2 linked regions of the Caenorhabditis elegans genome follow. The protein of the gene in region 1 purifies or fractionates together with the protein of each later gene. This does not show direct contact. Each region holds a gene or a part of one and is shown on either strand. Other genes may lie near its edges. The genes, in order: B0244.15 and Y38H6C.8.

Region 1 (3,783 bases):
TTAGTTCTGAAACATTATTACTTGCAAATGTTCCCTAATGAAAAGCTTCGCCACAAAGTTACATGCACTACTAATCAAGGTGAGTCAGTAACTCACGTGTCATTCATTTTTCTGAATTCAGGTATTAATATTGATAAATAATATCCGTTTAAGATAAATGCAATCACAAATAAAGTGAATGGAATACATAAATTGGCCCAAAAGTCGATTGCCTGAATAATACCGACGTCCTGGAAACTGGCACTTTTAATCAGATGTGTTTTCGTTTTTTTTCATTGTTTAATTTTCAAGTATTCACCAGCACCCTTAAAAAATATGAGAAAAATTATTAAATTCAACATTTTGAAAGTTTGCATTATTTATAAATCAATAATCCAAAAAAAAAAACACACAAGTAACACTCTAAAATTTGTGTGAAATTTTTGATTAAAACTTAAGACCAACCTGAATAAGAACACATTGATTAGTTGTGTTTGTGCAATTTAGAAAGTATGGCTCGTATTTCGAATGATATGAACAATTTTCGAAAATATTTTGCATTTCCCCATAGGAAACTATAGGAATCTAAAACCCCTACCAGCAGTTCATACGCTTCTTATCAGTAAGGATTATCACTTGTAGAAAAAGAGTTGCGACTCATTTCTTTTGAAGTTTTTCGATTTCCGTGGGAGTGAGTCCATAAAGTTTCTAGAACCTTTGCGTAGTACTTTTTACACATTTTCAGTTGTTTTTTGGTTTCTGATAAGACTTTTTCGTCGAATAATGTACTTGCGAGTGGGTCCAATATGAGAACTAGCGCCCTGAAAATTATATTTTGAAGCAAAAGAAAATTTATGAGGATAAACTACCAAACAATAGAATTCATTGAAGTAAAAATAGTGGCATCAACCAAACGATCAGCTTGATAAAAGTTATTACAAGTATTCAGAGCATTGTCTGCTTTAAGTCCAATCAGTAGACTCTCTGGGATCCCTTCAGCTAAACTGATTACTATAATTGCTGTGAGAGTCCATCCAAGCCGCCCTCGAGCATGGTGAAGAGTTTGGGAAGATGTGTAACTTCCGAGTTTTTTGGCTTTTCGAATATGAAAGCTCAGGCAAATAAAGACAAAAGACAGGATGATTATTGTGATAAGAAATGCAAAGCTGACGATTATAACTGAAAAAGTAATAAATTATTGAACGTTGTAATCACGATTTATCTCTATCTGAGACACTCCTTATAAACAACATGCAGTATGAAATCTCACAATTTATCAAACCAACAATTGGACTGCAAACTTGGGAGTCACACTTAATAGGGCCAGGCACATAACCAGCGGTTTGAAATAACCCAGTAGGAACTGATACCACAACTGCCAGAATCCAATTTAATATTGCAAATATGTAAATTTTTCGAAGGCGCAGATGGGTGGAAAAATAGACTGGGTGAATAACTCCTATGTATAAAAGAACTGCCATTCCGATATAAGACCCTGGAAGTTAAATTAGAAACACATCCGACTTAATCATCAACATTCGCACGTCGTTCGTTGGATCATGCCCGAAATTCAAATTTTATTTTGTATTCAAAATAACTTCAAGAAGCTTTTTACTTTACACTTATAATAATAAATACCTTGTAGACTATAAAAGCTGATATCATTGACAATAACCACCACGGCATACAAGAAATAATTTGATTTCGTACTTCCAGGCGGAAAATATACATACAATATACATCGAAGAATTAATAGTGTTAGTGCTGCACTAATAGATGATACACATCTACTCACAACAAATACGTATCTTTTTTGAGTTGAATGACTCATTTTTAAGTATAATGGAAGGACAATTGTCATAAAATAAACATTGAGTATTCCTGCAATTGTGAAGAGAATGCAGGAAATGTAGAAATCTAGAATAGTTAGAAGCTCGGCCACCACCGCAAAATCATGGATGAGCTCACAGGGACGGGATGTATTAGTGCAGTTGAGGAAATATTGTTCGATGGGATAATGGTTAGTGCAATTGGAAAACAGGTTCGTGGTGGACATCTGATTGGAAATGAGAAATGATAAGAGAGAAAGTAAATGAAGATTAAAAAGTGGTCGACTGTGAGAAGGAACAATTTTTTGTTTCGAAACAATAATTTGAATGCCAAAATGTAATTATTGTAGGCCGATACGTTGTCAGGTTTGTCGCATAATCTTCGCTTTTTCTTTGGCTTCGACAATATGTACCTGCACAAGACTAACGAGGCTCACCAGTTGAGATGGGAAACAAGCAGTAGAGTGTTTTTTTCATTTCTGGGAGGCACGAAGCAGGCAGTGTTATTATGGGTAGCCACAATATGAAGAGCTGCATGACTGTGTCTACATAATTCGAAGATTTGCTCTATAGAGCTTACTGTTTAAAAAAAAAGAAAGAACTGGCCGGGACATTAATCTTCGAATTATGTAGACACAGTCATGCAGCTCTTCATATTGTGGCTACCCAAAATAACAATGCCTGCTTTGTATACCCACATCTCATTCGAAAAACATATGAATAACTTAATTGTTTCTTTGTAAAATAATTTGTTTCACATATAAATAATTTGAAAATAGTTATGAACATCACAATGGCGCTAATGCTGCAGCAGAAGAAATATTTGGAATCTTCTCACGAAGCCATCGAAATTGTTGTTTTACTTTTTCCGAGACCTTTTTGTCGAAGAAAATATTGACGATGGGGTCCAAAATGAACAGGAAGATCCTGAAATAAAAATGAAAATTATTTATTGATTGTTAAAGTAAAGCTTATCTGCCTGCCTACTAAATGAAATCTTTAGACATCACTTACCATACAACTGACTCACAGAGTCCTGCAATAACTTCTCCCATAAACTTATTTGCTTTGTAGAAACCTTTACAAGTCTCAATATCATGAGGTGCTACGTCAAGTAAAAACACGTATGGAATAATTTGAGCCGCTGCAATAAGGCAAACTGCAATAATTGACCAACCAAGACGATTGCGGACCCGTTTCACAGAGGATGCAGATGAGGAAAGAGTATTTGACTGGAAATTCCAAGTTTTACTATTTTTCTATAAAAATACTTACTCTTTTCAATTTCCTGCTACTTCTCACCAAAGAGATAAATACAAAAAATAAAATAGCAATTGTGAACACCAAGCAAACACTGGCAATTATAACTGTAACTTGTAGATTTAGTAGACATTTGAATTGAATTTCTGTAGTTACATTCAATGAGATTCACCCATGGTACACAGGTTGATAAGCTGCAGTTGATAACTCCGGGACTTTGAATTGCTGCTTGAAACACACCGATAGGTATCTGAAGTATAATAATCTCAATTCCGAATAAAAATTGCAAGTCATTACAGAAACCATATCCTAATAGTGTTCAATTAGTATTTTTAATATATCTGGCCATAAAAACTTACTGAAATTACCAATGAAGTCAAATAAATTCCCAAAACTAAAATATAGACAAATCGTAAAGTGATGAGAGATCTGAAGTACACCGGATACATTACTCCAACATAGAAAAGAAGCGCCAACGCGGCATAGGACCCTGAAACAGGTTTGAAATTATTTGTACGTAAAACGTTCCGCACTGTTTAAGTCAAACAAAAGATGTATGTCATTTGAAAGAGCAAGTTTCAAATAGGTCACAACAAAAGGTTAAGCTGTATACGAGGACTTAATAATCAACTTGTTCTAGCTCCATTCCCATTTCATTTTTTCAACAAAAAAACAGAGTTTGTGACTATTTTTGTGATTTCACACCTTTTTTGTG
Region 2 (4,310 bases), on another chromosome or scaffold:
AAATGATCTGCCACCTTCTGCTCATGTCTCGAAATCGAGGGATTTGATGGGAGGGGATTGGGAAAATGACGATGCAAGGCAAACATCACGTTTCCGATATCAAAAGACATTGAATAAAAGAAAACCAATAGAATGTAAACTATTAAAGGGACAATTTCAGTGAAATTTATCAAAATACGAAAATAATAAAATTAAAAATTAGCGCCAGCTAACTATTTAGCAGAGCAAATACGTTTTGACCCAATATAAAAACAATAATATGAAAAAAAAAAATTAAAATAAAGTTTTACCAAATCGATATTGGCAAAACATCTTGTTTTTGAGGCTCCATATCTCTGCAGGAAAAAATCGCACTAAAAAGTGATTAACTGAAAACTTGTTAAACACAATGTAATCTAAAACTTTTCAGTTGAACACTTTTTTGTAAAAAATTTCGTTGCCAAGATATAGATCTTTAACTATTTAGAATATTCAAAAATAATGAAGCTCAAATCAATTGGTTCCAACTCGGCAACGAAATTTTTTACAAAAAAGTGTTCAACTGAAATGTTTTAGATCACATTGTGTTTAACAAGTTTCTAGTTGATCACTTTTTAGTGCGATTTTTTCCTGCAGAGATATGGAGCCTCAAAAACAAGATGTTTTGCCAATATCGATTTGGTAAAACGTCTTGATAAGGCATCAGAATCAATGATTCGGTCATTGAAAATAATGAAAAATAGGTTATTTGTGACACTCTAAAATATTTCATGCATTTTTAAAAAAATTTCAAAAAAAAATTTTTCGATCAAATTTTCTCATGGGTTTGGTGGAGAAAAAAGTGACAATTTTCGAAAAAAATTAAAATTTCTGAAAAGTTTCCAGGGTAATTATGGTTCAATTAAAAAGCAAAAAAATTATGTAAAACCCTCAAAAAAATGTTCTAAATACTTGTTTCCCGTTCTGAAAATTTTGTATAAAAAAGGCCAAAAGTTAAACCATGTATGGGAACCGAACACACAAACTTCTGCTCAAGAGGCGAACGCGTTCACCACTCGACCACCGAACCGATGTTTTCGCCCTTCCACCATTGTGGTGAGACTTCTGTTGGCGCCAGAGACAAAAATCCACTGTTAACCATAGGAAATGCACTGATTTCAGTGTAGAATTTCAGACGTAAAAATTTCAGATTTCCAGCTCGAACGGGCAAAAATTTCAGTCATATTCTTATAGTAGAGAATGTCAGCTTTCCGATACAATATTTTTTTTTTGAATATCGCTCCATTTATTCTGGTCATTCCCTAGTAAGGTATTAGTACGTAAGCACTAAGTTTTATAAAAGTTTCTCATGGTTAGACGGCAGAAACTCTTAGGGCCTGTTAACACAGCCTACCTAAAGAACCTTATACTTTTGAGGACCAGGGACGGTCCTGAAAGAAAGGGGGGAGGTGTAAGAGTTTCCGCGTCTCCCCATGCTCGGTACAATTCCCCACATTTATTATTGTCTTACAGGTCCAGCAAGTGCTGCCGTAGCGGGTAACATCACGGTTATCCGGCCAGAACCGCTGCCAAAGACAACGACTAGACTTGCCAACGTTCATCAATGCACGCTGCAAGTGCGCTCCACCGGACGGCGCGCGGATCTGAATTGCCGGCGCCAACTCTAATTGTCATCGTTCTCGAATGTTCTCTCCCCCTCCCTTTTCCCCTATAAAAGGAGCGGTTTCGCTCATTCGAGGCCTTTTTCCTTTACTTTTAACCCGTTGTCACGTGTTCGCTGTTTGCCCCCAACAAACTGCTTTTCTGTAAATTACTTTATTAACTAATAAACCTGCTCATGACAAGCCATTCTTACTATATCTCCGCTCTTCTTCTCCTCTTACAAACCTGCACTACAGAGCTTGTCTTTTCTCGTGAGAGATAACTAAAAAATATATGATAATCTCTCGATGTCTTTCTTTATTATCACTAACCTGAAAACTACATTTGGAGGGAGCTCACATCTTTCGCCTCCTGTTTTCTTATTGTCTCTTTCATCGTGAAAACCACAGATATATCTGAAAACTTATCTCATAGTAATAAACTCTCATTTCCCTATACTATTTTTACGAAGCTTCGATGAGGACTACATTTGGAAGAGTGAACTCATCGTCTCGTCGAACCCCACACTATTTCCGATAGTGTTTTGATCTCTGGCACTATTAACTCTTGACATACAGAAAACTATCGTATTACCTGAATCTCTCCAATATTTCCAAAAATCTCACATTATCGTTTCTTGATTGATAATAAAAAGAGATGCTATGACAATCAAGAATAAATTAATTCAAAGAAGGGTGGTGGAATTTGAAATTTCAATGCCTCGAACAACCAGACTATCTTGTTCATGCACCAATTTGTTACAAAACTCATGAAATTATGAAATATGGATGATTAAAATTTTTGTGATAAGTAATCACTACGGGAAGAGGCGCGGTTTCTACAAACACATATAAATAGAAGCTGATAAGATGAGTTTCTCCGCTGAGGAAGGTTCAAAATTATGCTTCGCTTATTTATCATTGTCTGTCTAGTGTGCTCTGTCGCGCCGGACTGTGTTCCGGGAGATGTTGGATTTGGAGATTCGTAAGTGAAAAGAGTTTTGTGGGACAGAAAACTGAATTGGAGAGTTCCAGCTGCTACTCGTTCAACCGTGTTCATGGAAAGTTCAAGGATGCCAACGATTTGTGTGTAAAGATGTTTGGAGGGAGTCTGGTAAAAATCACGAATATTATCGATAACAATTGGATGCAAAGTGAGATTTGTAAATTAGACGGGAACTACATGGTCTAATGGCGGGTGAAGCTAGCTAGGAATGGTATAGACAGACATATTCTAGCTCCAGCAACTTAATCAAGATAGATTAACATCGCATGCAAAATCTATCATGAAGAAAATCGAAACATTTTAACTTCCAAGCGTAGAAAATGTAAAAATAGCTAGATATTTTCTTTGAACGAGCTTTGCTAACTGATTCTTACCGCTTTCTATCACTAATGCCATGTCCACAGTTAGCATCGAAATTTGACAGAAGTCTGACTATAGTTTGCCCGATCCTTGGCTACCAATGAGTACCTCCTTCTTCATAAAAATGTTTAACATTTTTCCAGAACTGGCGGTAAACCACCTCGACGCCGACTACAACTCTTTTTGGATCGGAGCCAGCGACGCTGCCCACTACACCAATTGGACTTGGATTGACGGGAGCCCAATGCGATTCTCCAATTGGGGACCAGGACAGCCACTTGAAGATCGGCACTGCGGAACTATGCTCATTTCGACTGGAAAGTGGTTTTCCCAAGTGTGCGATGAAAGGATCCAGTTTCTGTGCCAGTATCCCAATGGGGCATACTCTCCAACATGCCCTCCGTGCCTAGAGATTTGATGATTTAAGTTTTTTTTATTACAACAAAGTACCTCTCATGTTAATAAATTACCTCACATTGTTTAATGGAAACAACATTCGAAAAAAAAACATTTTAGATTGTTATTTGATTTGGTTTAAAGTTTTCAGATTTTACATTTTCTCTAAAGCGTAGGCACATGTTTAGAAATAAGATTACAACGTTGAACTAGGATAAGGCTTATGCTTGTGGGCTATGCTCAGGCCTCTCACCTTGTTTCACTTAAGGCAGGCATATGATTGAGCTAGGCTAGTGTAACGGCGTAAGCTCAAGTTTCATCTTTAGGCTTAGGCTTAGACCTAAATTTAATCTCAGCTTTCTACCTCAGTTTTCTTAAAAGTTCCAGGAACAAACTTGCCCTTCCGCTTTAGAAGTCTCTTTTCACGTGGTGCCAGGATGTCCCATTACGGTTTGATCTACAAAAAATGCGTGATTTTTTTCTCAAAAAATGTGACGTCAACACGTGCTTAACCATGCGAAATCAGTTGAAAAGCATGCGTCTCAACTCCCGCATTTTTGTGGATCTACGTAGATCAAACCGAAATGAGACACTCTGACACCACGTGTCTTTTCAATATGCCTGTATCATATTATAACAACAATGACAAATTTATTGTGTACTATCAACTATTATTACTGATCGTTGTTGTCATAAATGCTTCGGAACCGCTCCCTATCGAAAATTTCTCCGCAAAGCTCGCTGTGCTCGTGTGACGTCCAAAGTGTGATCACCAATACTTTTGTCTCATCTTCCATGTCGAACGCTTGGCGGTGTGAAACATAATGGTGTTGACTGAAATTGCAATTTCAATAAAATTGGCCTCTAGGTTAATATGTTAATGTGCTTACTCATAACGATGAGGATGATGGACAGCCGGAACATCGAAT

The links.
Region 2: the proteins of B0244.15 (region 1) and Y38H6C.8 fractionate together in Caenorhabditis elegans (co-fractionation; one large-scale study listed by BioGRID). This does not show direct contact.

The regions. Positions count from the first base shown.
Region 1 is NC_003281.10:5,741,636-5,745,418, reverse strand, and holds B0244.15 (G-protein coupled receptors family 1 profile domain-containing protein), read right to left. Parts: upstream 2,036-3,783; coding exon 1,618-2,035; intron 1,475-1,617; coding exon 1,250-1,474; intron 1,159-1,249; coding exon 849-1,158; intron 801-848; coding exon 599-800; downstream 1-598. Other genes in the region: Putative G-protein coupled receptor B0244.5, read right to left, coding at 1-6, 97-230, 445-540; B0244.16 (G-protein coupled receptors family 1 profile domain-containing protein), read right to left, coding at 2,597-2,735, 2,823-3,040, 3,084-3,175, 3,225-3,318, 3,428-3,558.
Region 2 is NC_003283.11:20,512,245-20,516,554, forward strand, and holds Y38H6C.8 (C-type lectin domain-containing protein), read left to right. Parts: upstream 1-1,716; 5' UTR 1,717-2,521; coding exon 2,522-2,604; intron 2,605-2,654; coding exon 2,655-2,773; intron 2,774-3,128; coding exon 3,129-3,403; 3' UTR 3,404-3,488; downstream 3,489-4,310.